4 linked regions of the Tamandua tetradactyla genome follow. Each later gene encodes a partner of the first gene's protein in a complex. Links are inferred from orthologs where the notes say so. Each region holds a gene or a part of one and is shown in the gene's direction. Other genes may lie near its edges. The genes, in order: CASK, LIN7C, LIN7B and DLG1.

Region 1 (7,477 bases):
GTAGATTTGCTAACAAAAAAAATCACTTCTTCAGTTGGGCCTTCCCTAACCAACAGGGTGGGTTAAGTCCCCTCCCTATTTTCTATCTGTACTTCCCCAACCCTAACAATCATCACTTTTCATTGTATCACTTGCATGATAGGTGTTTTCTTCTAGAACAAAGCTCAAAGAGGGCAGGGACCCTGTTTGCTTTATTTATAGCTGTAGCCTGGTGATTAGCATGGACATTCATTGGATGAATATAAAATAAATGATTTGCAACTTGGCATCAGAGTATAAGTCTAGTATATGTAGCCTTTTTTTGGAGAAATTAATGATGTCTTTTGTTTGAACTTAGAACATCCTATTTATAATAAGAGGCAATAACTTTATTCCAGTTTAGAGCTGTGTTGCTGTAAATTTTATTCATTAATTAAGTAATAATTTATATGTTTAAACAATCTAGCTACAGAATGAGGCTGAACTCTAAAATGCCTAAATTAATTCTGTACTACACTGACCTCAGTATTGTTCTCATGCTAATATTTCTCTAGGGTTTGTTTTCCCTTTTATTTCTGGATCATGTTGAAATTTTATGGGAATCCAACAGCCAGAGACTATCAAATGCAACCATAAGTCCAACACCTAAAAGCCATTGAGGATATTCACTGACATTTCAGAAACAAATTTGTTTAGCACCAAACTCAGTCTTATGAGTTATGAGATATTTCCTAATTTTTAAAGGACTATAAATTATATACTAAAGGTATATATCTACATTACGATGGAGATACGAAATTATTTCATTGGTAATTTTCCTAGTGTTGGAGATACTGCTGACTGGCTACCAGAAGCCATTCCCTACCTGCTTCTCCATTGCCTATTTCCAAAGAAGAGGCAAGAATAGTCAAATACTCTTGCCCCAAGCTTCCCTTGAAGTTGAGGGTTGCAATGTGACTGTTCTGGCTAGTGAAATGGGAAGAGATATTTTCTTTCCTTAATAACAGATGGGAGAGGAGCAAAAAATGCCTTCCTTACTCCCATTTGCCCTCTTGCTTCCTGATTTTGAATACAGTTTGGTATTTGAAACTGTGGCAGCCATAGTGTGATGATGAGGCAGCAAGCTTGAGGATGAAAAGCTAACATGTAAAGGATGGTAGAGTGAAAAAAAAAAAAAAACCTAGGTTCCTGGTAACAAAGTTGAGTAGTTGAACCAATGGTAGCAACCACCTACCTCCAGATTCCTTGCTACATGAGAAAGATACCCAAACCCCTAATTCGTTTAAATCACTGTTAGTTGAGGATTGTTATTTATATCTCAACACAATCTAAGTGATACACTTAGTCACTTTAAAATTTTCTTTGTGGAAACTAAAACAGAACTAAATTGACACCAGACCATTTGTACATTGGGTATAAATACATTGAGTATTGGGTTTTTGGAAGAAATCCAGAAAAGAGCTAATTTCATTAAGAAGTCTTAGTTATTTTAGTTTAGATGCATAGAACTACCTCCAGCCATAATGCATAGTACAAATTCTTAGGGATGTGTATTACAGAGGACTTCTTCTTTATGACAAAATACCACACTTGGGACTAGGAGATCTAGATTCAGATTCAATGTTTAGCTAATTATGTGACGTGGACATCTATTTGTCTTTGAATTTTTCACCTGTCATTTTTAGGATGGTTTCTTTGAAAGTAACAGGGAATTCAACTCAAAATGGCTTAAACAATTAGGGAATTCATTGCCTTATATAACTAGGATGTCTGGAGGTTTGGCTGAACAAGGAGATCAATAATGTCATTAAGGACACCGTTTTTCTCCATCTCCCCCCCTGCTGCCCTGAGTTCCACCTTCATGTTATGCCTGCTTCCTCTCAGGGGTACTAGATGACTGCCAGCAGCAATTGAGGCTGCCTCTTTATTCAAAGCCAGAGTGGTGATTTTGATGGGGGTGTGGGGGGTGGGATGAGGAGAAAGAGGGTGTTGGAAGTGATGTTGGGGAAAGTCCTGAGCTTTGTGCTGACCAGAAGACCTTGAACCATTCAAAGCCATGGCCATGGAATGCCAAGAGCTGAATAAATTAGGTCAATCTTTGTGACAAAAGGGCTGGATTTATTAGTTTAATGAATCAGGATCCACTTTTCCAGGTGAGGTGATTACAATCCCACCTCAAGTTCATGGCCACTATCCAATGGTGGAGGGGAAGATTGGCTCTTGGGAGAGCAACCACCATATCCCCCCACATCTGAGGGAATAATGAGGAAATTGGACTAGCTCTAAGGCTCCTTCCAGATCTAAACTCATGATTCCATGAGCAGAGAGCATACCTACCTCGCCTTTTTTTTTCCCCTTAACCTCTACTTTCTTTTCTGTTTTACCTTATAATTGTCCTTTTCTCCCTTTGAGCATAGGTCCCTGTGAAAGATAAAAAACCAAAATGAAGTAGTCAACAGCCTTGGCATAGTTCCCATTTGGGCTGGGAAAAGGAAGTGAAGTCGACAAGGTGACTTGTTAGGGTTGTTGTGCACTTCAGGGCAGAAGGGAGTGACCTATTTATTGGGGGTGAGTGATTTGGACTTGTACCTTAAAGAAGGCCTATGTTTCGCAGGCTCTGGAGCTCCCCTCCCTAGAGAGTGCACAAGCTCTTTGGGAAAGGAGGAAAGCAAAGCCTTCTTGTGCAATTATAATTTTCCTTTGATCCGCATTGTATAAAGGGGGACTTAGTTCCTAGATCCTTAACGCTGGAAAATTCCTCAGCTGCTTGAGGGAGTGGTCGAGGCTTTGCACCAAATACCACTGAAGCGAAAAAAAGGCTGTGGATCTTCACCCACCCCTCAACTTTAGTAAACATTATATTTTTAAATTACCACACTGAGAATTTTACCACATGATTTCTGAAAGCTGACTTATGAAGTAATTGGGCACTTCTGCTGTGCGGAGGAACAAAGACTTTTTTTTTTTATTGCGCTTTAACTGTGAGATATATACCTGTCTGATGGTTTTTGCTCATTCCGCACATGCTCAGTTGAACAGAAATCTTCATATTTGAATGGAACCTAGCTCAGTGGCAACACGCAGAACCGCCTTCCCTGGCTGACCCTGTGCATCCACTCCCTCTAGTTGCTTTTTTATCCTGATATGTCTAACACTTACAGGGAGTATAGGCAGCAGACTAGGTGCTGGGGGTTTGAGGGAAGGAGGATATACAAAAGGGCTTAAAGTCTCAGTATGCCCCTGCATTCCTGAGCTCTCTAGGTGTCCATACTGCGGGTAAGAGCTGGATAGGTATTTGCTGAGTTTGGAGCAAAAGGCGGGAGAAGCTGTCTGTAGAAATTACCGTTTGTTGTTGCATACCTTCCCAGACGCTTTTTGTTTGGTCCTTTTCTTGTAAGTGGGCATACCCCTTCTCCCAGCCCTCATCTTCATAAAGGAAGTAGAAAGTGGCACTAAAAGCATCCGCCGCCTGGCACAATCTTGAGTGACACTCTCTCTACCTGTCTTCTTTTTTCATACATCAGTATCCTTTCCCTGCCTCCTTTCTAGCAAAACTGGGAAAGGCTTCCTGCCCTTACAAAAGAAAGGGGGGTGCATAAGTGGTTACGAGCCCGTCGCAGCAGACAGCCGAGAGCGTGCGCACGATGGTGGGCCTTCTGTCCAAGACTCCTTTTGCGGCTTGGTCGCAGGCAGGGCGTGGAGGTGATGACCCAGACAACCCCTTCCTCCGCAGCTGCTGCCGGCGAACCCCGCGGGCCAACCCCCCTCCCACTCTAGATTCCCGGCGCCCGCCAGTTAGCTGTGACGTGGCTCTGCATCGAGCGCATGCGCCGGCCAGTCCGGTTCACTTCTCTCAGCCACCACCTCCCAACCGGCTGGAGTGGGCGGGGTCTGGGGTTCTGGAAAGCCGCGCGGCCGAAGAGGGAGGAGGGTGTGTGCGTGAAGCCGTGCGCCGAGCTAGCGAAAGGTTCGGTGGCTGAGGCACAGTAGGAGGAGCAGAAGGCGGTGGCTGCGGCTCCCGCCCGCACAGAGCGCGCGTCTCACGAACCTCCCTCCCACTCTAGGGCGGGCGGCGGCGGGGAGAGGAGGAGGAGGAGGTAGTGGAGGAGGAGGAGGAGGAGGAGGGAGCGTCTCTGCCACCGCCTCCTGGTCCCCAGCGCCGAGCTGCCGCCACCTCCCTCCGCGGTGATCTTCCCTCCATGGTCCTGCCGCGGCCCCCCCTGTAGCCCGAGCTGCCCCGCGTCGCGCCGGAGCCGGCCTCGGGCAGAGGGAACGGCCGCGATCTCGCGGCCCCCGAGGGCTGACGAGCTGAAAGCGGGGAGGTGCGCGGTCCCTGAGGATCCGCACTCCGGGCAGTGCGGCCCCAGCAGCGCGAGGAGCGGCGGGCGGGCGGGCGGCGTCGGGCCCGGGCCGCCCTCACTCCGCGCCCCGGCCCCGCCGCCCGCGCCGGGGCGGTCGCCCGCAGAGGCAGGCTCCGCTGCAGTCTCCGGGCCTCGCCGCTGCGGCCCGGCTCGGGCGTACTCAGCACCGAGGGCTCGCGGGTCCCGAGGGGAGGAGACGATCTCCGGGCCGGGCGCTGAGCTCTTTGGCGCCCCCACCCCCGTTTTCGGAGGCCCACTCCCCACCTCTGCGGCCCCTGTCCTCTTCGGACCATGGCCGACGACGACGTGCTGTTCGAGGACGTGTACGAGCTGTGCGAGGTGATCGGCAAGTGAGTCTCCACGCGAGGCAACGGGAGTGTGGGAATATGCATTTCAGGGATGCCCTGGTCCTCCCGCACCCGCTTCGGGCCTGCCCCCTGCCCTCCCAACCCTCCACCTCCCTTATCCTCCTCACCCACGAGTATTTATAGAAGTACCTGGACCGGGGTCTGGGGTTCTCTGCGATGTGTTGAGGCAAACGAGGCGATGTCGGGCACATGAGGCGCGGGGCGGCAGAAATCTGCTGCCTGCGTTTTATCTGATGGTTGCACAGGGACGTGGCAGAACCGATTTTATAGTTGTTTCCTGGGAACAGTTGGGCTTATTGTTACCTTGAATGTAGCACAGACCAGTAATGAAAAGAGCAGCTTGCATTTCCTTTGCTTGCATGGAGAGGTAGACGAAGAACGTCCAGGATTTTCAACTATGGGGTGTGTGTCTATTGTGCAGGATATTAGATGCCTTTGTGCTCACCCCATGTCCGGATTGGAGGGGGTCATTTAAGACGGGGTGCGTTTAGTTTCAGCAAATTCCTCACCTAGCGTAGATGAACATGGGAAGAGTTGGAGACATCGTAATTTCTAATGCCTCATTTATACGGTGACTTTGTTCGAAGCTTTCCTTGAGTGTTGATGGTGGTGGTGGTTAGCGTGGTAGAGCTGTCTGCTTTGAGTCACCCGGCTGGTCTAGAAGATAGAACTGACAGTCCAAATGCTCATCCTTTCATCTTTGTTGTATAATTACACTAGGGAAAGGCATGGAATCAGATTAATCACAGTGCTGATTGAGAATTAAATCTGCAGTTCTTCATCTAATTGTCCATTCCTTAAATCTGTTTTGAATAGTTTCCTTTTCATTCTTGTCAAACACTATTCCAAGTGCACAATTCTTGGAAGGGAAATGCTGGCAGTTTGCTTGTGAGAGAAATGCTGGCTGGCAGTTTGAAGTTGATTTCCTAGTTCAGCGTTGTGTTCTCTGGCTTTAGAAGTTGGGGAGATAAGATTTAAGAGTAATTTTGGCTTATTTAATAAAGATTGCTGGGTAGCTACATCGAAATATTTATTGCCTATTCAGAGGTCTGTATTTGGGAATTGAAACCTTAGAACAGTAGGCTCTATTTCTTTTAAATTGTCTGCAGTACTGAATTTCAATTTGTTTAAGTGCTGAAAACTCATTTTTTTCCTTCCATATTGAGGTATTACAGTTTTGCATGAAATGGTGAAACTGTGAGTAGAGGTTGCTACACACTTTACTCACACCCAATTGCCAGGAGGACATGTTACTCCTTGCCCCTATTGTTACATGACCAGCCTTTCTACTAGAAGGATATACAAATATAACCCGGTAAAGTGGTTGAGGAAGTACTCTAGGGCAGCACTGTCCAAAGATATAGAATGTGAGCCACATATGTAATTTAAGATTTTCTATTAGCCACATAAAAAAAGTAAAAACAGGTGAAACTATTGTCCATAAAATATTTTATTTAACTCAATAAATCTGAAATGTTATCGTTTCAACATGTAATCAGTATAAAATTTTTTTTACTTCCTTTCTTTTTCTTTCATGTGAAGTCTTTGAAATCCAGTTTATGTTTTACATGAACAGCACATATCAATTATCATACTAAGCTAATTTTCTTTTCGAAAATACTTTATCTGTATTTAGGTTTCATAAATTTTACATTTGAAAAAGTAGATTCACATATCTAAGTTGCTCCAAACATACTTAAAAGTTTTCCAGTAGCAGAATTGAGCGTGTGTTTCTAAATTTAAATTTAAATTATTTAAAATTAAATAAAATTCAAAATTCAGTTCCTCAGTCAGATGTTTCAGGTGCTCAGTGGCCACATGTGAATAGCACCATTCTAGAGAGACAAATATGCCAGAAATCTCCTTGGTTTCTTTATTTTTAGGAGCACCCAGTGAAGGTAAATTAGGTGTTTCCCCAAAGCAGCAAAATGACTGTGTGTGTGGGTGAACTATGTTTGTTGCATCTTAGTTATATCTGATGTAAATGCGCCAGCAAAGTCATAATTGGAAAAGGTGAGAATAAAATGTTGGTTATATTGTGATGACTGAAAATAGCCAGCATTGAATCAATTTTGATAGCTAGTTCTGATTACTTAACATTTTTAAGAGTGGTGATATGATATTTTAGGATATTTAAAATAAGTGATCAGCATCACATTAGCACAATCAGTATTTGCTGACTTAATTGATAGAATAGTTTTAGGAAACACTCCTGGTAGAGCCAAATCCATCTCTTTTGTGGTTTTGAAGCTGCTTGAGGAGAGAGAGCAAGCTAATTTTGAGGTGATAGGCATTCTATGGCTACCTTGACTACTGTGATCTGTGAAATCTTGTTCATATCCTACAAAATCTGACTTGGTCAGTTCCATTGACAATATGCCACTCCGTGAATAATGAATTCCAGGTAATCTTATTGGTAACGAATGTAATGATAGTCTTCCTTACCCCATGTAAAGGTTGAAGGTTTTCTAGTAAATTGTCTCAGCATATATTGATCTGAAAATTGAAATTCACTTGAGATTTTCTTGTAGGGACAGTTGACAGCATATCATTTTAACTTAGGATTTGTTCAACTCTGAATTTAAACAGAAAGGCCTTGAAGATGCTCACTTGTACTAAAAACATTTTTGTTGATGTCTGTCCAAGGTCTGTGGAATTTTGTTTTTCTTCTATACCAAATAAGTACCATCAGTTGTTTTTGACCACTAGGGTTTTAATAGCTTTAAATTTTTACTAAGGCCTCTTTAAAATGGATTTAATTTCCCAAGA
Region 2 (6,838 bases), on another chromosome or scaffold:
TTTAAAAGAAGATTATATATTGAAAAAGAAAAAAAATAGTGAACATGAGGATGCAGCATAGGAGCTGTACAAAAGGAAACAGAAGAAAAAAAAAAGATTGGGAAGAAAATGAGACAATGTCTGTGCAAGCCCAAAGACAATGGAACAGCATCTTTAAGGCAGTGAAAGAAAGAATAATGTTGTGGGGCATTGAATCATGTTCCTCACAAAAGGCAAGCACATGTCCCAATCCCTGGTCTTGTGGGTGTGAACCCCTTTTGTAAATAGGAATTTTGAAAATGTTCTTGGTTAAGTTGTAGTGAATCAGGATGAGCCTCAATCCAATATGGCTCACATCCATTTAAGCAAAGGAAATTGCACACAGAAAAAGAAGCCACGGAAGCAGGCTGAAATTGGAAATCAATGGAGCCTGTAAGAGAAAGGAGAAGATGTGGCTATGTGCATTGCCATGTGATAGAAAAGCCAAAGATCCTCAAGGACTGCTGGCCAGCTGGAAGATACCAACTCCAGAAGGAAATAAGCCTTCCAGTTTCTAGAACTGTAAGCCAACACATTGTATGGTATTTGTTTTAGCAGCCAGAAAACGAATACACCTTTCAATCTAGAATTCTATACCCATCTATACCCAAAGATATCGTTCAAAAACTAAGGTTAAATAAAGACTGTTTCAGATAAAGGTGAAGTAATTCATTACCATCTTGACTACAAGAAATGCTACAGGAAATTCTTTAGGCAAAAGGGAAAATAATTACAGATGAAAATCTTGAGCTACAGAAAAGAACAAAAACAATGAAATGGTAAATATAGGTAGGTAAATATAAAGATCTCTTTTCTATTTTTAAAATCTTTTTTTAGAGATAATTGATTATCTAAAGCAAAAACAATGGCAATCCATTGAGGAATTTTATTTTGAACTTCCCGCCTCCCCAGGAGGGGGAATATGGGATAGTACTGTTATAAAGTCCTTAAACTATGCATGAGGAGGTATAAAATTACTTGACTCCAGATTTGGATAAGATAAAGATGTATACAATAAACCCTAAGGCAACTACTTTAAGAAAGAGGGATAGAGAAAGAGATACATGTAAAAAATAGGCCCAGAAAATAAATAAAATAGAATCATAAAAAATACTTAATTGATCCAAAAGAAGATTTAAATGGTGATAAAAAGTAACTAAGTACAGATGGCTCAAATAGAAAGCAAATAGCAAGCTTATATATTTAAATTCAAATTTATCAACAATCGCATTAAATGTAAATTATCTAAATTGGATAATTTTATCCTAATTGAATAAAAAGACCCAATTACATGCTGACTATAAGAAACCTACTTTAATTACAAAGACACGAATAGGTTAAATATAAAAGAACAAAAAGATATACTATAGCAGCGCTAATCAAAGAAAACTCAAGTGGCTGCATTAATAGCAGAGAAAGCAGATTTAGAACAAAGAATATTACCATAGATAAAGGAATAAATGCATAATGATAAAGATGTTAAGAGGAAATATTCTAAATATTTACGCATCTAATAACAGAGCTTCAAAATACATGAAACAAAAATGAACTGTGAAGAAAAATAGGCAAATACATGATTTAATTAGAGATTTTAGCATCCCTCTTTCAATCATTGATGAAACAAGTAAATAGAAAATCAGTAAGGATTTTAAAGATTTGAACAACACTATCAGCCAACTTGACCTAATTGACATTTATATTACACTCTATTCAATAACTGCAGAATTCATATTATTTTCAAATGCACACAAAACCTTTAATAAGATAGATCATGCTTCTGGGCAATATAACAAGTCTTGATGTATCTAAAATAAATCAAATCATACAAAATATTTTCTCTGACCATGATGGAAATAAATTAGAAATAATAAAAAGATATCTAAAAAATCCACAAGTACTTGGAACTAAATACCCATTGGGGGAAAGAAGTTATCAAAAGAAAAATTAGACTATATTTTGAACTGAATGAAAAATTGTGGGATGCACATAAGCCAGAAGTTTTAGGGAACCTTCAATTCTAAAGTCCTCTGTTAGAAAAGGAGAAAGGTCCCAAATGAAAGGACTCAGTTACCACCTTAGAAATCAGAAAAAAAAGAAAGCAAGCAAAGTAGGCCTAAAGTAAGCAGTCATCTACCAAATTTTAGGAAACAAATATTACCAATTCTATATAATCTCCTATAGAAAATTGAAGACGAAGAAATACTTCCCAATTCATTCTATGAGTTCAGCCCATACCAGACAAAGACACTATAAGGAAACTTCAGTTCAATATTGCTTATAAAAATAGATGTAAAAATTCTCTTAAAATATTAGTAAATCAAGTCTAACAATATATGTAAAGGATATAATACATCATGACAAGTGGGATTTGCCCCAGGAAAGCTCAAGAATTTTTACATCTATTTTACATCATACAGCTGGTAAGAGATAGAGCCAGGTAGTCTAAGAACAATGTCTGCATTTGTCTTATTCAACATGATATCCTCAGTGCCTAGGAAGGTGCCTAGTAGACATTATACATGTAATAAGCATTTACTAAATACATTGTAATAGAACAAATGACAATGTAAATAACAGATAAGCACCTGAGTGCAGGGCATAAGGGAGGTTGTATGGGGAAAGGAAGTCTTAGTGGAAGTGGCTGTGTCTTCAGTAGGGATGTGGAGGATGGGTTCAACTTGAGGGTATACACACTTTAGAGAATCAGAGGAGATGTAGAAGAGCATTCCAGGCAAGAAAAACAATGAATGAAAACCTTGTAGCAGGAATAACCATGGTTTTGGGAGGGGTGACGCTTTATGGGGTGATGAGAAACGAGGTTAGATGGGTAAGTTAGGGTCAGAGAATACAAGGCTTTAGAAATAGAAAATAGGAGAGAAACCACTGAAAGTTTCTGAATAGAAACTTTTGATGATGAAATTAGTGTTCAAGGAAAAAACAGAATGCAGCAGGTGACATTCATGATGGATTAGGGGAAGAAAATATTATAATTGGATGGAGAGGGTAGGCTGGGAGCAACCGGGAAGTTGTTAAAACTGTCTTGTCATGAAGAACAGAAAACCTGCATGTGAAAGCACCTAATACGATGTCAGCACAGACTAGGGCTTGGGTAAACGTCAGTAGGATCTAAATATTGGGAAAATTAATACTTCATTTAAATTAGGGACTAAAGTTTTTTTTGGCTCATAAAATTTTCAGAAGTGCTCCTAGGAATCTGTAATGCATTATTTGCTTTATAAAGTTACATTTATACATTTATCAGCAATTAGAAATTATTCTGTGATGTACCACAATGCCTTGTTTTCTCCCTCACCATATGTTTCATGCTCTTTATACTTTCCACCATCCTTTACCTTTACTCTCAAGCAGATTTTTAGGGAAGAGTTGAGTCTTGAGTTTTTTAAATTAAATAACTGCTTACCACAAAAAGAAATCTGCCACGCATAGGCACTTTATTGACAATATTTCATCTACACAATCAATTGCCACCTCAGAGATTGGATTCCTTCGTCGCACAGATGAGGAAACTGAGGCTGAGAGAACGCAGGTAAAGCATTCAAGGGTCAGTGCTGCTAATGGTGACGCAGGGACCAGGATTCCAGGCTCCCACTGACTCCTCTACGCGGCGCCAAGGGTTCCAAGCAGATAGGATAAAGCTTGAATCCCGAGGCAGGGTGCAACAGTCAAGAAAAAGGCTCTTGTCAATCTCGGGAGGCCAGAGGATTCGACAACCGGGCATCTGTTTGAGAACCGATAGAAAACACACCGTAAGAGACTCGGGAGCTCCCCGCACAGGGACTTCAACAAATCCCAGCACTTCCGGAGCCCTTCCTGCTCTCGCGATACCATCCGGCCCTAGCCCGGGGGCTCACGGCCAGGTTCCGCCCCCATCACAGCCCCTCTGTCGTCATTTCCTGTGGGGCTGCGGGCAAAGGGAGAAGATGGCGGCACTGGGAGAGCCTGTGCGGCTGGAGAGAGGTGAGTAAGGCCGAACCGCGAAGAGGGGGTTGGACGGAGTGCTGTGTAGCCTGAGGGGCGGAGGGGCGGCCCGGGAGTCCGCCCCGTGCCCCGCGCTGGCGTCGGTGACCGCGGTCGTGGCGGCGCCGGGCCCTAGCGAGGGTGCTCGCGGTATCCTGACTGATACCCAGACTCCGCCTCTGCACGCACGGTTTGTCTCTTGACATAACACTGTCACACACGCCTTGCCGGCGTTCGCAGGCACACGCCACACACGCGCTGCCTGGATGAGCATAGCAGAAGCAGTGTTCAGAGACGAGTAAAGCGGAGAAAGTAAACACACTACCAGCTCGTACAGACACACACACCACTTACAGATTTCGTTATATAGACCTCACGCCCTACCTGTATGTAAGTGCGCACAAACCCAGTGTCCCCGTCTTCACCCACGTATCGCACACTTCCCGGTCACACAGCACATTCCCAGAAAACCCTATAAACTCCATTGTTACTTTAAAGCACATCCTCACTTTTACTTGGGGTGGGTTATTTCCTGGCTTTGTGCCTTCCTAAGTGCTTTTAAAACGATCCTACTTACTTGGTCTTGGGAGGGTGATTACATAACTGGATCACCGTTTCCTAGGTGGAATAGTGGTAGATTGTAAAGTATTTGAAGATGCACTTCTTTTTTACAAACGCTGCAGTTGCTAGCTGTGGTTGGTTGCTTGTTTTTTATAGAAGACTGTCAAGGAAAATAGAAATTTCTCTTCTGAGTAAAGAAAGAATAAAAAGCCTGTGAAAAATACGTGCCTATACCCGTACCGGGATGTTGTTAGAGATTTTCAGCATTCCACTCTTTTCTCCCCAATTTCTTTATTTCACGCAGTTTCAAGCAAGCTTTGATACACCACGTAAGAAGTCTGCTAAGAACCAAGAAGTACAAAATAAACATTTTGAGTACTAGTACTAAACAAAGCCCAGGATGAAGATTGAAATTATCTTGCAGTGATTAATATTTGCAGTTATAGTCAGTATTAAATAGGTCCTATAAGAAGAATACATTTTTAGAATGATTCTAGGAATACCTCTCTCCTCTTCAAGTCACACAAACAAATGAGCATATTGTTAGTTTGTTCCTTATGGTGTTCACCATTTAGAAATTTCTTACAGATGAGTTTGTTTCTCTTCAGCTTACCAAGGCATTAATTAAAGCATGCTTTCTGACAGAGAAGTAGCTACTCTGAGAAGATTTGCTAAATTAAGCTTAAAACGGTAACATCTTCCTCCTGAACATAATGGCATTGTGCTTTGTAGATGAGAACAAATCTGGTGTTAACAGGAGTAGGTGTTTTTTTCCTTTGAAAGCCAGTTGTAGCATTCTAACACATTGGCATTCATTTGTATTTTAAGTACAGCACAAGATAATGTGGAACTTCACTCCTGGCATTTAGTTTTGGTAGCCATGGCTTTGTTTTTGCTGTTTCAGAATTATTTTCCTTGGTACAGCATGCTCAGCACCTTAGTAGGATGAATTACTAATGATAGCCATTTAAACAGGATGAAAGAGTCAGTACATCAACTCTGATTATTTTGAATTCTGTTTCACAGACTTTATTAACAAACACTTTCACCCATCCTGCAGTGTAAAGTTGCTACACATAATCAAGATCCTGAGCGCCTTCTAAAGCATCAGAATGTGATTCTTTGGGACGCATTTGAGCATATATTAGGTACAATTTAGATTCAATAAGAGAATTTAAAGTCTACAGTCTGTTAATTGGAAGTTTTTATATGGGTTATGTCCTATAACTTTGTAAACAAAAATTTGATGAACCAACAGTCCCCATTCTCCAGCCATTCTAGTAGTGGGAAGTCAGCATGGGGAAGGTATGTTTTTGTTTACATTGCATTTGAACAGCATCAGTTTAAGCTTTTATTATTTGAAACTTTCTTCACTAGATTTACTCCTAGTTTTCCAGCTGCAAACACAAAGCCATACTAATTCTATAAAGCAATTTTTCCCATCCTTCAGTGTAACATAAAATTTAGAACTTCTTCGAATAAAGACAGAAGGAGGCAAAGGATAGTAGAAAAATGCTGCATCCACCAGCGGTACAGAAAAAAATCAAAGTAAGCATAGTTGTTAATAGTGTTGTAAAACGTATACAAATCTTATAAAATATTTTAATTCATAAAATATTTGAACACTGGGCGGGCCACGGTGGCTCAACAGGCAAGAATGCTCGCCTGCCATGCCAGAGGACCCGAGTTCGATTCCCGGTGCCTGCCCATGTAAAAAAAAAAAAAATATATATATATATATATATATATATATACATATTTGAACACTTAGCGTTATACTTCCCAATCAGAATTGCCTAACATGCTTAATGTAGTTGTATAAATTTCTGCAATCTCTTATTATTTTATATAATTAATTAGCACCAATTTAATATTTGTGTTTGCTAAATGCCAGGCCCTGTTCTGAGCACTTTATATTTATTATTTGGTTCAGTCAGGTAACTCTTATGATGTGAATTTGTTGTATCTGTTTTATATTTGAGGAAATTGAGACTTCAGGGTGGTTAAAGTAACTTGTCCAGGATCACACAGCTAGATTTAAAACCAGATGACAAAATTAATTGTTTTTATTTTTTTATTCTGTAAACAAAAGTATTTGATCATGCTGGTCTTGATTAAAACATCATGTTAATGATCCTAAGTTGAAAGTGCACCAATCCATTATTTTCATTCATTTACTATTGTTTTAAATGTGTTCCTGTCACTAGCATCAGGTTATTAAGCAGTGCGTATCTTTGTGTGTGTTGTGTTTTTCTTTGGGAAATGAATAGTGATTTCACTA
Region 3 (7,618 bases), on another chromosome or scaffold:
TATATTCCCAAAGATAACCCCACATTATCTTGTAGCTAGACTTTTGGCATTGGCAATGAAGAAAAGTCTGTTGGACTAACATGGCACAGAGCAATTATGAAGGCTGGACAAATCCATAAAGACATTGGAGAACAACCAATGTAAGCTGAACTTGGGGCTAATCTCTATGGGGAAGTACGTAGAAAGTGGTCTTCATGTTTACCCTTGCTTTTTCTTGGAAGGCATTCACCTGTCTACCCTGGGTACTGGACTCTTCTCAGAAAGTGTCAGTTCTCCCCTAGGCTGAATTCACAGAACTCGGATCCGGTAGCTGGGACTTGAAGGCAGAGTTCCCAGATAGGAGCGAATCGAGTACCCAGATGTACATGCAGTCTTCCCATAAGGCATTCAGCAGTTTCTGAATGGCTCATGCTCATTGCAAAACCTCCAAGAAACCAGAAAACAGTAACTGGAAGGCTAAACAACTAAGCAGAGATTTGAGCAGCCGTGCAGTTCTGGGGAAGCCGAATTGGTGTTCAAGGCCTTCCAAAGTGGGGTGTCTGGTTGAGTGTCCCAGTGCCACAGTCTAGGAGTAAGGGACAACTGAGATGGACCAGCCTAAGGAAGCCGAGGCTGAACATTACCAGGATTGAGGTGGTCTGACAACCAGAAGAAAACTCTGGAGGAAGATACTACCCACCCAGCCTCTGATCTTTTTTTAAAATCTTTTCGCTATTTTTATTTAAAAATCATGGGGTTACAATGTGGTGATAATGCAAGCCACTGATTATGTACTTTGGATGAATTACAAATGAAACACTATATCTCAATAAAGTTGCATTTTTAAAAAATCATAGGATTATGCTTCCATATAAAGCTTGTACAATTAGCAATGTAAGATACTAAAATATTTTTTTTTTTAAAAAAACCTCAGAATCCCTTTGATTCAATGCTCTTGTGTTTTTAAAAAAGAGAAAAATAAATAATGCAAAACTCAAGAGTTTTGGAGTGTTTGGCATGCTGCCCTTCGTTTCACTTGTCGACGTCATTTTACCAATAACAATGCAGCTGAGTTGCCCAGGCAGCCAATTCCTCAGGACTTGTCCCCACGGCCTCTGTCCCTACCACCTCCACGCCCGCTGCCTGCACCCCCACTACTGTCCAAGGGCAGAGGAACCCTGGAGCCCTGGCCTGGCACAGCCTCTGATCTTTAATACACAGTGCTCAGCGCCTAGCAAATTACCAGACATGTTAGAGAATGAAACTATGGAAAGAGGGAAAAAAAAAAAAAAGTTGAAGAAACAGACCCAGCAATGCTTCAGATGTTGGAGTTAGTGAGACTTTAACCACAAAATAAGGAAAAGATGGAGAATTTTAACAGATCTGGAATCTACCCACCTCCCAAAAAGCCATGGGAATTCTAAAACTGAAGAAAATTAATTCAGTAGATGAATTTATTAACTGATTATACATAGCAGAACAGAAGATTAGTAAGCCAGAGACAGAAGAGTGTGAAGTATCCAGGTTGAGGCCCAGAGAGGAGAAAACAGTGAAAAATACAAAGAGTTTAACTAAATAACAGGATGATTGAGAAAGGCACAATTAGGAGGTCCGTTTCGGGCAATGTTACAGATTCAATAACCTGCAGTCTATGTTACGAACACTAAAAGTGTTAGGAAAAATAAATAGGCAGACTTTCTTGAAAATAAGGGAAATAATGAAAAAGGAAAGCCTTTTTATGATGTGGGGGTTATTCTCCATCAAAACGAGGATGGAGATGTTGGATCCTATTCAGCAGGGCAATGAAGAGAAGTCCCAGAGATTTCCAGAGAGCAGCTGGGTCCAGTTTGGGGTAAGAAGATTGAAGTTGCAGGATAAAAAGAGAGGATTCAGTAAAATATCTTACGACAGAGTTCGAAAGAAACAGAATGTGATAAAAGGGGAAAAAAGGTAGATAGAAACCAAAGAAAAAGCAAGAAGCTGTTCAAAATAACTGTAATCACAGAACACTAACCTGGGCTCTAGGATAAACAATATTTACAGTAATAATATTAGCATTTTATTGACTTCATTAAAAATTGGTACCATAAGACTATCAAGGGAAGAGAGAGAAAAGACTAAGAACAGAAAGCCTATATGTAATATATTTAATAACATCTAAAATTGATAAATCAGGAAATGGTACAAAAGAACGAATTTCACCACCTACCTCATTTCAGCAACAAGAAAATCAAAATGGATCAAGGACCTAAACATAAGAAATCATAAAACTCAGAAGGAAACAGGGAAAATCTTCGGGTCCTTGTATTAGGCAGTATTAGGAAGCAGGTTATTGAATCTGTAACATTGCCCAAAACGGACCTCCTAATTGTGCCTTTCTCAAGGTTTAGATATGATATAGAAATATGAGCAACACAAGAAAAAAATAAGATACATTGGATTTCATCAAAAGTAAAAGGTTTTGTGCATAAAAGGACATTATCCAGAAAGTGAAAAGACAACCTACAGAATGGGAGAAGATATTTGGGAATGTACCTGATGAGGGTTTAATATCCCAAATTATAAAGAATTAAAACTCAACAAAAATGCAAAACAACCTATAAAAAATAGGCAAGGGGGGCGGGCCACAGTGGCTCAGCAGGCAAGAATGCTTGCCTGCCATGCCAGAGGACCTGGGTTCGATTCCCGGTGCCTGCCCATGTTAAAAAAAAAAAAAATAGGCAAAGGACTTGAACAGGTGCTTCTCAGAGGACATACACATACTCAACATCATTAGACATCAGGGAAGTGCAAATCAAAACCACAATGCCATACCACGTCACACCCACTAGGATGGCTATTATTAGGAAAACAAGTGTCGGTGAAGACACAGAGTATGTAAAATGGTGAATCTGCTGTGGAAAACAGTTTGGTGAATCCTCAAAGAGGTAATAAAGAGTTACCATTTGACCCTGCAATTGCATTCCTGGGTATATACCCAAAAGAATTAGAAATGGACATGAACAGATATTTGTACACAAAACTTCACTGTAGCATTATTCACAACAGCCAAAAGGTGGAAGCAACTCGCATCCACCAGTAAGAATATCCATACAATGGAATTATGCTCAACCATAAATAGGAATGAAGTTCTGATGAAACTTGAAGACATCATGTTGTCTAAAATAAGTAAAACAAAAGGACACATTTGTGTGATTTCACTTACATGGAGACAAAGTATATTACAGGTTATCAGAGTCTAGGCAGTGGGCAAATGGGTATTGTTGGTTGTTGAGTACAGAGTTCAGAGTGTTGAAACAGATGGTGGTGTTGGTAGTAGCATAATATTGTTAATGTGATTTCACTGAATTATACACGATAGTGGTTAAAATGGGAAAATTTTTGTTGTATGTGTTACCGTAATAGAAATTTTAAAAAAGAAATAAAAGAAAAAGTACTGTGAAGGAGACAGGGTTAACCAAACCTGCTGTAGTTCCCCCACTTTGTGAGAACCCATCCATTTCCCCATCCAGCTGAACCAGAATATGGAGGGGCAAGACTTGTCAGCGTTTCCTATGTCCATTTTTTTCAGTCTGGCCTTCTCCCCCAGTACTACCTGCAGAGTGTTCTTCCTAAAGTAACCAATGATTCCATGTCTTACATTCAGTAAACATTTTCCAGTTACCTTTGGCATGCGACACCACTGACTACTCGTTTTTTTTAAACACTCTCTTATGGTTTCTCCAACCTGGTTTTCCACCTTTCTGGCCATTCTTTATCCTCTTCCTGACTTTAACTGTTGGAAATTTGGGGGGTTTGGCTAGGTCATCTTCATAATATATTCATATGCCCTAGGCCTCCTCCCCACTCCCTATTCCACTATTTGGTTAGTCCTAAATCATACCCAGATATTTTCCAAATCTATCCTCCTCCAAACCTCCGCACTGGTGCAAGAGGACACCATGTTCCTCCCTAATCCTGCTCCCATCCAATTCTCCACACAGTGGCCCCCGTGATCTTCAAATACAAATTTGAAGATCACGGGGTTCGCAGGAAGTAAAAGCTCCTCGACGCCCACATGCCACCGCTATTCTAAATCGCTGCGATCCTTATTCTGCTACCCAGCCCCGGGGGCCCTTCTTCCAGGCCTTCAAACTCCAGGGCTCTGCAGGCTGCTCGCTCCTCCGGCAGGGGGGCCACGCCCACCTCGGGGCGCTCTTACTCCAGGTTCTGCGCCGGCGTCTTTCCTCTCCTCGGTCATCCCTCCCCACTCCCGATTCTCGTCACAGCCGCAGTTGGTTGTGCCTCTCCCGCTAGACACGAAGTTCCGTGTATGGAGTGGGCTCGTCTGCCTTGCTCATCACCGCGTCCAATATACGTTTGTCGAATGAAGGCTGAAATAAGACCAGATGGAGAGGACAGACGGGTGTGGTGGCAAGGACGGACAAACAGAGACTACTGTGGGAGTGACTGCAAACAGGGCAGAACGATGGGTGGGGGGAGGCAAGGCAGCGCGACGCGCAGACGGGCAGGTCGGGACCCCGGCACTGCGGGGCCGCGTCTCGGCAGGGGGCGCCCGTCTCGCGGGGCGGGGCCTCGCGCAGCCCCGCCCCCCTCGCCGGCGCGGGGGCAGGGGGGCGGCTGGGGGCGGCTGGCGGCGGCGGCGGCGGCGGCGGCAGTGCCATGGCTGCGCTCGTGGAGCCGCTGGGGCTGGAGCGGGGTAAGCGCACCCCGGGAGCCCTGCCCGCCCCGGCCCCGGTCCCGCGTGCCTACCCCTCCCGCGGCCAGGGCTGCGCGGGGGACGCGGGGAGCCGGCGGGGCCTGACGGGCCGGGCGGTCTGTGGGCGTGGGAGGGTCCGCGGGTCGCAGCGGGGGGCACCGGCCGCACGCCCCCGCACAGTGGCTGCGGGAGGGGGCCCTTCCGGGGAATGCGGGGCGCCCGACTGACCGCGGCGCCCACCGGCTCTGTTCTGTCCTTGCGGGCGTCCGGCTGCGCTCGCCCTTGCTCCTCTCCCGCCGCCTCGCTGCGCCCCTGCCCCGCCTCGCAGACGTGTCCCGGGCGGTGGAGCTCCTCGAGCGGCTCCAGCGCAGCGGGGAGCTGCCCCCGCAGAAGCTGCAGGCCCTCCAGCGGGTCCTGCAGAGCCGCTTCTGCTCCGCCATCCGGGAGGTGAGAGCCGCGCGGCGCCCGGCCGCCCGGAGCCCGGGGACTACGCGTCCCAGCAGCGCCCGGCCGCCCTGTGGCGCTCGCGGTTCTGCTCGGGGGCTCTTGGGGAGTTGTAGTTTCCTCGGGCCCCGGGTTGCGGGGACGGGGCGCACCCCTGGGTGGGAGGGAAGAGGGAGTGTGGGAGCCTGGCCCCCTGAGTGCGAGGGAGAAGGGACCCGGCGGCTCCCGAAGCTGCAGCGTCCCCTCCCAGGTGTACGAGCAGCTCTACGACACGCTGGACATCACAGGCAGCGCCGAGACCCGGGCCCACGCCACCGCGAAGGTAGGTGGCCCCCGCCCCCCATCCCTCTTGGTCTGAACGAACTGCCTGGGCCAGCTCAGTGTCTCTCTCGTGTCAGCCATCCCTTTTGCCAAATCTTTTGTACCACCCTTACCGTTAAATTTATGATTTCCTCGAAATACTCTCATGTTTTTTACTCAAACAAAAGTCCTACAAAGGCATCCTTGACAACTACAAATGGAAACCAGTACTGCCCTCCTGACTAGAAGGTAACCTTAGAAATCTATACGTTGAAAACAGTGACTGTCATTAAACAGTGAAATCGTAGTGAAATATAGTTAGACACTGTTTCCTGTAGCTTCCTTGCAGGCTCTCAGCTCCCTCTAGGCCTTGCTTGTTTCCCACTGATGGAAAGTGAGATTGGCAGATGTTGGGGGGTAAAGATACACACGAAACCGAGACTTCTTTCCGAAGTAATCAGAAGCACCTAGAGTGAAAGCAGGAGGCACATGGTCATCACCAGGTGATTTGGAGTTGAGTTGTGGCAGACGCCCCATGTCTGGGGAAAGCAATCTGCCTCCCAGACTCAGATCCCCCACCCCAGGCCGCATGCCCACCGTAGAGGGGCCATCCACTCCAGATGCTGTCTCTCTCCCAGGCCACGGTGGCCGCCTTCACGGCCAGTGAGGGCCACGCTCACCCCAGGGTGGTGGAGCTGCCCAAGACAGACGAAGGCCTGGGCTTCAACATCATGGGTGGCAAGGAGCAGAACTCCCCCATCTACATCTCCCGCGTCATTCCCGGGGGCGTGGCTGACCGTCACGGAGGCCTCAAGCGTGGGGACCAGCTGCTGTCCGTAAATGGTGTGGTGAGTGGTGACTGAGGCATAGTCTGTCCAAGGTGGCACAGCCCTGCTTTTAACATTCATTCATTCAACACAAAGTGATTGAGGACTGCCCACACGGCTGGGCAGTGCTGCAGACCCTGTGAGAAATTGGCCTCAGCTCGTACACTCAAGGATTGCCTCTCAGATAGACCCTGACTGAAATAGTCCTGATCCAGATGATGTGCTGTGAGGGAGGAAGCACAAAGCCTTGTGAGAAAGCAGATGTGGCATCAGACCAATCCGAATGAGGAAGGAATGTTTGAGTTGGGTTTTGAAGGATGAACAGGAGTTTTCCAGGCAAACAAGGTGAAAAAGGGTATTCCTGGCTGAGGCTGTTGCAGGTAGGAGCTGTGAGTCTTGTACTCTTCTGAAATGAAGAGAAAGGGCTTGGCCTTGATGGAGGTCTGGGACATGCAAGGAGGGACAAAGGAGAAGAAATAGGGGCAGGAGGGATAGAACTGAGGACTGAGGGCAGTAGGGAATGAGGATGAGCCTGCAGGTGAGGTTCAGTTACTGAGGGGATATAGGGTCATCCCTAACACCTGACATAGAGAACCTGAAAGGTTGGGGGGGGGGACACTGAGCCAAGAGTTAACTCTCCATAGGGACAGGAGGCCTTGGCATTTTGAGACGGTACTGTGCTCACAAGCAGTTACTCCCGTTTATGGGGTGGGGGCAGGCAGAGGGCCATGAGCCCTGGGCCCAGCTGTGGGTGCACCACCCTGCAGAGCGTTGAGGGTGAGCAGCACGAGAAGGCGGTGGAGCTGCTGAAGGCCGCTCAGGGCTCTGTAAAGCTGGTGGTGCGCTACACGCCCCGCGTGCTGGAGGAGATGGAGGCCCGCTTCGAGAAGATGCGCTCCGCTCGCCGGCGCCAGCAGCACCAGAGCTACTCGTGAGTGCCTTGTCACCGCTGGGACCTTCCACAGCCCCACATAGCCCTGGACTCCCAAACCAGGCCAATGATTCCAGGGTCCTGAATGCCACCCCCAGGTCTGGCTTCTCTTCCCTGGCACCCTGACCCTTGACCCAGGCCTGGCTTCTTTTCCCTGGCCTCCTGGCCCTTGACCCAAGTGAAGGCTTGGTCAAATCCCCTGGGAGGTCCTAGCCTAATCCTATCTCAAGATCTGGAACCCACTTCCCTGGGCCCTTGCCTCTGGAATCTGGGTCCTGGTCCTCTCCCATGTCTTCCCAGGATCCCTCCACTGAGCCTGGCTCCCTTCTCTTCACCCCCTTGCAGGTCTTTGGAGTCTCGAGGCTAAAACCACAGATTTGGACCCTCATCTCCGCCCCCACCCCTGTACAGTATTTATTGTCACCATCCCTTATTTAA
Region 4 (7,007 bases), on another chromosome or scaffold:
TGCACAAATTCACAATCTTTGGAATGATAAAGATAGAACTGTTGCAGAATGTCATAAATTATGATCTTTATTATGACATTATTTTAGATTAAGATATTTTCCTTCATCTTATTCAATACTATTTTACAGGAAGACTGATAGTGCAATGAAAAAACAACTATTGATTTATGTAAGATAAATAAAGAAAACATCAAAAGCTTCTTTTAAATAAGTTCTTTTGATGACAAAGAGGTGGCCAAAACTAGCTTACCATGGTTATAAAATTATTTGTAGTAAATCAAAGTCAATATGAATAGAATGCATGATTAGCCTATGATGTTGCTGCTAACATGAATGGAAAGGTAATAGAGTTGCAGCTAAGTCTAAGAAGAACCAAGACAATTTTTCACCATGAATTCAGGTCATGCCCCACTCTATATTTAGTCATTTGAGGCCTGTTGAGAAATAAAGGATGTCACACTTCTCTTATGAATTCTTTGTTTTCCACTATTCAGGTATCTATGAAAATACTGGCAATATAAAAACATTTATAAATGTAATTGAAAGTGTAACACAGGGAAGCTACCTATTTTTTTTAAACCTGTAGAACTGGACATCATAGGTCATTATCAGCAGTGAGGAACCTCCAGTGATTATTGAAAGATTCCCAAATTTCTTAATTGGCTCTTTTTTTTTTTTTTTTACATTTTTATTGATAGAACTTAACATACTAACACACAAACATTCTTAGCATACAAACATTTCATACATGGTATACAGTCAATAGCTCACAATATCATCACATAGTGTGCATTCATCACCATGATTTTGAACATTTGCATCACTCAGAAAAAGAAAGAAAAAGAAAAAAGAAAAACTCACACAGACGATATCCCTTTCCCCTCCCTCTCATTGACCACTAGTACCAAATTGTTCTTTGAACAGATACTTTCGGTCACCGGAGGGCTGAAGAGGCTATCTCATGTAAGGAGATTTCAGCACAATTCTTAATACTTTAGTAAGGGATCCTACAACTCTGCCAATAACATGAGTTCTTCAAAAGCAGAAAGGCAAATTTGGTTACACTTAGAAATTTATCTTTAGCAAAGATTACTAAATTTTTCTCTTCTCTCTGTTTCATAGAGGAAGATTGATTCTCCCTGAAATGCCAGTAGTATTCTTCCATCATGGAAAAGTGATCATTGTCCTTTGATATTTGTGTGCTGATGCTGTTTGGGAGCTCTTCTGTTTACATTACACATCTGTCAACTCAGGGGGTGGGACTAGATGGTGGCTAAGGGCCCTTCCAGGTTGAATGTCCCATGTATCTATGAATCCTCAAAGATTCTTGTCAGGATAAAGGAAGGAGAGAAGGAAGCAGAGTGTTTTAAAAATATACCTTTACATTAAAAAACCCAACTCATTTAGACATACCATATAACAAGGGTGTGGATATTCATTTCTTTGCGTTCAAAGGCTATATATCTGTTTACATCAAAATTGCTTTCATTGTTAAAGACATTCAAATATGTGATAAATACATAACAGACTATCCCATGACTTGTGCTTTGTTATATCTTATTCTTTATACTTTCTCAGACTCTCTCTTCACCCTCTTTCTCTTTTCTTCTGTCTCTGTTTCTGCCCCCCTCACACATTTACATTGTTGTTGTTTTATTAAAAAACAAAGCAAACAATGAACTAATGATCAATCCCAGTTCTATTACCAGCAAGCCGTGGTGTCCTAGACGAGGTTATTTTCTTCTTCTTCAGTGTTCTCTTCTGCAAAGTAGGAGATCATAACCAATAAATTTATGCCATAAGATGCTGTGAAACTAAAATGAGTTAAATTTGTCCTTTGAACAATGTTTGAAGGACTATACCAGTATAAAGTATGACTTTATAAGGGCGTAAATGAGAGGCGGTTAGTATTTCTACACCCACATGGGAGCCCATTAATTTACAATATAGAAATTTGAGGATGGATCTCTCATTATAAAGCAGGAGTTCAGTACCCAACCACCAAAGGCTAGAAGTTAGCAAGAAAGAAGTGTATCATATCCTCTTTTCTCCTTTTCCTCTTCCACCACCTCTTTGTTTTTAAGGCAGGACTAGGATGACATTGACAGCTCATTTATCTATTTGCTATTAGACCGTGGATCCTTAGCAGGACTTGGAACTTAAAATTTTTCCCCATTGCCTACTAAGTGAACATATTTGAACAATGAATGGCTTTGAGGGAGAAGGGTAAATTTCCCTCCCTCTTTCTCCTGAATTCTGAAGAGATTCTATTCTTAGGCTACATTTCTTCTTATCATTACATTCACAGTTCATCAATGACGTATTGATAATAGCATGTATGCCATCATTCATTTTCACTATTTTGAAAACCCCATCTCTTTATTTAAGCTTCTTGCTTTTAGGATCCCCGTTTCACTCTTCTGTCCTATTTTCTTTATGCAATATTGCTGTTACTCAAGCTCCCATGATGCTTGATCCAGAAGAGCATAACGATCTGCTGCCAATATACCAACCTATCCAGTTGTCCAAAATCACAGTGGAAAGAGTCCTGACTGGGGCTTAAGAGACTTGAGTTCTGGGGCTGCTCTGTCACAACCCTGTATGTCTTTGGGAAAGTTGCTTTCCCTCACAATTTCTTTATTTAAAATAAGAGTGGGTCTACATGAGCTCTAAAGTCATTGGGTTTTCCTGACAAGTTAGGATTCCAAGGTGCAATCCGAAAGTAAAACCCAGTGGTCAGTATACCTGTGAACAGCTGTTACAGTTACAGTACAGAAGGTTCCCTAGACTTCCCTTAATGATCCCATGAACACAGCTTCAGTGAAAGGTTGCTAGGTTTACTTGGAAGAGTCTTTGGTTTTGAAAGACAGGCTCTCCAGGTTTCTAGTCCTGTCACCAGCTCTGGTGACCCTGAGCAAATCCTCTCTGAATCTCAGAGAAGGGAGGTTCCTGTTATCCAGAGGAAGCTCGAAGACCTCGGTAACAACTTGAAGAGTTTTTTGCGATTCCCTTTCTTCAGCTCAGGCGGTTCAGCCTTCCCTCTGTTTCCTTCTGAGGTGTGTGCGAAACTTAAACCAGCCTTGCAGGCTGAGGCTGGCTCATTCTCTGAGGAGGTGGCTACAGGTGAGCTCTTAAAGGGGCTGGCGGAGCTTGGGTAATACCTGAGACTAGCGACTGGGCAGGGAAGCTGGCATGGAGGAAGTGAGAGAGTGAGCGAATGAATGAACGCATCTTCTCTACTTACCCTTAAATGCAGTCATACTTAGATGTAAACGTCCTCTGCTAAAACTCTCAAACTTTAATCGTATTTACCGATCTCCCTGTTTTGCAGCCTCTTCTTTAATTAAAAGCCTCCAAACTCTGCGGGGCGAAGAGCAACAGAAAAAAAAACAGTACAAAGTGGAGCAGTGTAAAGGTGGCACCCCGCCCTAACTCCTCCCCCCCATTCCGCTTCTAGTTCCCTCCCTTTCCCGCCCCCTAACATGGGTGGCACAGTCTGCTCCACCCCGAATAGGGATCCATCCTGCGGGGCGCCAGGCACTCTTATGTCGTGGAGTTGGAAACAGCACGTGTTTGGTGAGGTTAAGGGGTGTCTGGGAATGTGTGCCCAGGATCAGGTGTGAAGTCACGTCTTTCTTTAACGCCCCGACCCTTTCGGGCCTGACAACGACATTAGCTCAGAAACCGCGGGGCGCACCGGTGGGCTAGGGAGAAGTAAAGGCGAGCTCTTTCAAGGCCACCTAGACCACCTGTAGAGCCTGTACGTCAACTCCCTCGTCCTTAGCACCACTTCGGAGCCCGCCCCTTTACATGAGTAAGCCCACTCGAGACGCTCTCGGCGACCCCTTCGCGCTCCGCAGCTCCCTCCCCGCTCTCCTCCCCCTCCAACCCAAAGGTAGCAGCGCTGAGAGCCCAGAGCTCGGCGCGAGCCGCCTCCTCACTTCCCATTGGCTGAGAGCGCCGGGAGAGCAGTCACGTGGGGGCGCAGCAGTCCGGCTCCGAGGCCGCCATCTTGGCGGAAAGTTTGGGGGGAGAGAGATTGGGGGCGCGGAAAGAGCCGAGTTTCCGGGGGTGGGGCGGCCGGGAGAGGTGAGGGCGTGGGGGCTAGCAGGCCGCGGCGACTGAGGACGCGGCGTCTGCGGCCGAGGAGGAGGAAGAGGCTGCGGGAGTGCGGCCGCAGGCGGGAGCTCTTATCCTGTCCCCTCACCCCCTCACCTTAGCGACTGGAGACCCGGGCGGGGCGGGGGAACGTGGAGCCGGGCAGGGCTGGGGAGCCTCCTGGAGTCCAACTAGAGCGAACCCCGGCTCCGAGCGCACACCGCTCGCAGGAACTTTGTGGCCGCGCCGCAGGTGTGGGGTACAGCGGAGGCGTGCATGTGGGGCGTGAGGACGTCGCGGAGAGCGGCAGCTGCCCCGTCCGGCCCCCACTGGAGTAGCCCAGAGGAAACGGGCAAGGAGAAAGGCAAGTGAGAGCTTGGGGGCCCCAGCGGGGCGGGGTGATCAGCCCAGCTGGTCCCTTACTGGAGCGCTCCTTGGCCGCTGCTAGCTCAGGGGCCAACAAGGGTCGGAGCGCTTCTTGACCCCAAGTAGTAGATGGGGAGGCTGGATACTTTTGCCTAGTTGGGAGTGTTAATGGCCCCACGTCTAGGCATTTAGTGCTCTTTGGAGAGGGAGAAGCTTTAGAGAAGAATTTCGAAGAATGCACTTCTTTCTGCTCTTAATATGCAGTGGTACCTAGGATTGACACCGCAGGGTTTTGAGGTTCTTCCTTTCATTTGGGAAAACTTTGCAAGGTAGGCTTCTCAGATGGGGCTGGGAGGTTTTCGATTTAAGGGAAAGTGGTGGCTTAACCACGATTACTTTCTTTCTTTTTTTCCTTTCTGTTTTGTGTTTTTAAAGGTGCGTGCCCTCTTCCTGATTCTGGAGAACAATGCCGGTCCGGAAGCAAGGTGAGAATTTATTTCTGAACTCTCTTTTGGAGTGTCACCTTTCCGTATAGCTGTTTTGTGATTGCTGTGTTTTAAAAATGTTTGTGTAAGTTTGGTGAGACAGTACCGTCCTAGCTTTACTACTTGGGAAATCTAAGCTCACATCACTTCAGGAGATGGGAACACCTAAATGTTAAACTTTCTTCCTTGATATCTCTCTAAGCCATTAGAAAGGCAATAAATCCACCCCCTTAACTCTCCACAAAAATCTGCTTGCCATTCTTACTAAACGCTGTTTTTTGAGTGATTGTGAGATACTGATTAAGTACTAGTATTTTGAAGCATTTAAGATTTGGATTATGACAAATTGTGGATAATCTGCTTTTGTAAATCAGATAATCTGAAACTGTTGGTAATATTTTGATCAGATCTTTTACTGGGGCGGGTTACCAGTACACATTTATTACAGACTGCTCATCTTCACCTTTTTCCTATTGTGGAATAACATCTGTTTAAAAATTTTCCCGTCCTTCCAGGGAATATATGTCTACATGTACATAGTAAAGATTAACCTGGAGGATTCTGGGAACAGTTTGGATGTCTTGCAGAATCATTTGTCTGCATAGCTAGTGTGTAATAATTTCTTGTAAATATACAATTTTAACCAGGCTCTTTTTTTCTCTCAGATACCCAGAGAGCATTGCACCTTTTGGAAGACTATCGCTCGAAACTAAGCCAAACTGAGGACAGACAGCTCAGAAGTTCTATAGAGCGAGTTATTAACATATTTCAGAGCAACCTCTTTCAGGCTTTAATAGGTGGGAATTAAAAGTTTATTTATGACTATGTTATGTCTTAAAGCTTCTCTGAATTCAGTTATTTGAAACCAAAGAGAATGATATACTTGATTATCTATCAGACATTCAACAACTTGAACATCTTCAATGAGTTGTATATTTTTGATACACCAGTATCCTTTCCAAAAAATCTAATAACCAAAAATATTTCAACATGATTATTTTAGAGGCCTTTGATAACAAGGTTTATCTTTATTAAATGATGGAGAATTTGCGAATGTGTTTCAGGACCCAAAAGGTAGTTAGCTTTGTTCTGTATTTGACTTACATTTCTCTGGAGTCCTTGAAAATGTTTGAAGGGTTGTGTTATATTTAAGAACATTCATTTCCTTAATGTAGACATCAGTTTAAACTTTGTATTCATAGAGTCAGAAAATGGAAAATGATCTTAAAGGTGATCTTGTCTAACGATCATTAAATAATCTCTAAACCTCATTTTACAGAGAAGAAAATTGTGACAGAGTTTTAGTAAGTGTAACTTAAATTTGAGGTAGTGCATTGTTTCAAAGGAGAACTGGCCAGTAGTCAAGGGTCTTGAGTTCTATTTCTGATGTTACCATTAACTGAATGATCTTATGCAAGTCACTTAACCTTTTCTAGGCCAAAATTAGCTGTAGAATGCAGATGGTAAAGTAGAATGTGGTTTTTAAGCCTTTTTTTTTTTTTAAAGCGGCTAGATCCTTTTTAAAAACAAAATTTTTCGTTTCTTGACCAGTCCCTGATATATAGAACAAAGTGCTCTGTCTTTGACCCTCTCTTCTAGGTATCTTGAAAAGTTTGCAAATTATTTAACTGGAGAAGATTTATCCTTTCTAATTCTAAGAATAAATTTTTTTTTAAAATAATTAGTCACTGACTAGATAACTTTTAAATAAGATATAATACATCATTGCATTACTTTTATTTTCTCCTAATTCCCAATTAGAGGTGGCTTTATATTTATCTATTGGCAGAGTAATTGTTGGTGTGATTTGAAGAACTGCTTTCAAGTCAGTGTATCCTGTCAAATAACTCATTGGTAAATAGTTGCTCTGTACTAAGTATGCTTTAGAATAAAAATGATTTTTAAGAAGACCTCAGTACACTTGAGCACTTTTTAAAATTTAGCTTTATTATAGACTTTTAAAAACATATGCAAGAAAGAGAAAACAATATAATGAGCTCCATGTACTTGTCCATCCATCTTCAGAAGTTATCAACATTTTGCCATTTTGATGGACTT

Evidence for each region.
Region 2: CASK (region 1) and LIN7C share a complex: the UniProt entries of both Homo sapiens proteins name them as parts of the brain-specific heterotrimeric complex. The link is inferred for Tamandua tetradactyla from reciprocal best matches to the Homo sapiens genes CASK and LIN7C.
Region 3: the proteins of CASK (region 1) and LIN7B are in contact, whole or in part, in an NMR structure (PDB 1Y74), measured with the Mus musculus proteins. The link is inferred for Tamandua tetradactyla from reciprocal best matches to the Homo sapiens genes CASK and LIN7B. Residues at the interface, in NP_001271432.1 of Mus musculus: Ala405, Arg408, Ala409, Glu411, Val412, Glu415, Ile416, Tyr419, Glu421, Asn422, Asp424, Ala425, Glu427, Leu428, Ile431, Leu432, Gln434, Phe437, Ala439, Leu440, Leu441, Thr443, His444, Val447, Ala448; in NP_035828.1 of Mus musculus: Leu10, Asp13, Val14, Arg16, Ala17, Leu20, Leu21, Arg23, Leu24, Ser27, Glu29, Leu30, Pro31, Pro32, Lys34, Leu35, Ala37, Leu38, Val41, Leu42, Ser44, Phe46, Cys47, Ile50, Arg51, Tyr54.
Region 4: the proteins of CASK (region 1) and DLG1 are in contact, whole or in part, in an NMR structure (PDB 1RSO), measured with the Rattus norvegicus proteins. The link is inferred for Tamandua tetradactyla from reciprocal best matches to the Homo sapiens genes CASK and DLG1. Residues at the interface, in XP_038955489.1 of Rattus norvegicus: Gly339, Ala342, Ala343, Arg345, Ala346, Val347, Gln349, Val350, Ser353, Leu354, Glu356, Ile357, Leu360, Thr361, Asp367, Leu368, Phe370, Leu371, Ser373, Val374, Phe375, Asp377, His379, Leu380, Thr382, Leu383, Leu384, Asp385, Leu386, Tyr387; in NP_036920.2 of Rattus norvegicus: Arg4, Asp7, Thr8, Arg10, Ala11, Leu12, Leu14, Leu15, Tyr18, Lys21, Leu22, Glu26, Asp27, Leu30, Ser33, Ile34, Arg36, Val37, Ser39, Ile40, Phe41, Ser43, Leu45, Phe46, Leu49, Ile50, Gln53, Glu57, Val58, Leu60.

What each region holds. Positions count from the first base shown.
Region 1 is NC_135353.1:130,138,756-130,146,232, forward strand, and holds the start of CASK (peripheral plasma membrane protein CASK), read left to right. Parts: upstream 1-4,462; 5' UTR 4,463-4,631; coding exon 4,632-4,690; intron 4,691-7,477. UniProt on the Homo sapiens protein: Multidomain scaffolding Mg(2+)-independent protein kinase that catalyzes the phosphotransfer from ATP to proteins such as NRXN1, and plays a role in synaptic transmembrane protein anchoring and ion channel trafficking.
Region 2 is NC_135334.1:103,337,936-103,344,773, reverse strand, and holds the start of LIN7C (protein lin-7 homolog C), read left to right. Parts: upstream 1-3,833; 5' UTR 3,834-3,959; coding exon 3,960-3,996; intron 3,997-6,838. UniProt on the Homo sapiens protein: Plays a role in establishing and maintaining the asymmetric distribution of channels and receptors at the plasma membrane of polarized cells.
Region 3 is NC_135342.1:12,006,664-12,014,281, reverse strand, and holds the start of LIN7B (protein lin-7 homolog B), read left to right. Parts: upstream 1-4,618; 5' UTR 4,619-4,641; coding exon 4,642-4,678; intron 4,679-5,006; coding exon 5,007-5,125; intron 5,126-5,372; coding exon 5,373-5,444; intron 5,445-6,060; coding exon 6,061-6,270; intron 6,271-7,016; coding exon 7,017-7,180; intron 7,181-7,525; coding exon 7,526-7,547; 3' UTR 7,548-7,618. UniProt on the Homo sapiens protein: Plays a role in establishing and maintaining the asymmetric distribution of channels and receptors at the plasma membrane of polarized cells.
Region 4 is NC_135336.1:16,123,949-16,130,955, forward strand, and holds the start of DLG1 (disks large homolog 1), read left to right. Parts: upstream 1-3,988; 5' UTR 3,989-4,462; exon of another isoform or gene 4,463-4,491; intron 4,492-4,650; exon of another isoform or gene 4,651-4,793; intron 4,794-4,899; 5' UTR 4,900-4,930; coding exon 4,931-4,949; intron 4,950-5,614; coding exon 5,615-5,746; intron 5,747-7,007. UniProt on the Homo sapiens protein: Essential multidomain scaffolding protein required for normal development. Recruits channels, receptors and signaling molecules to discrete plasma membrane domains in polarized cells.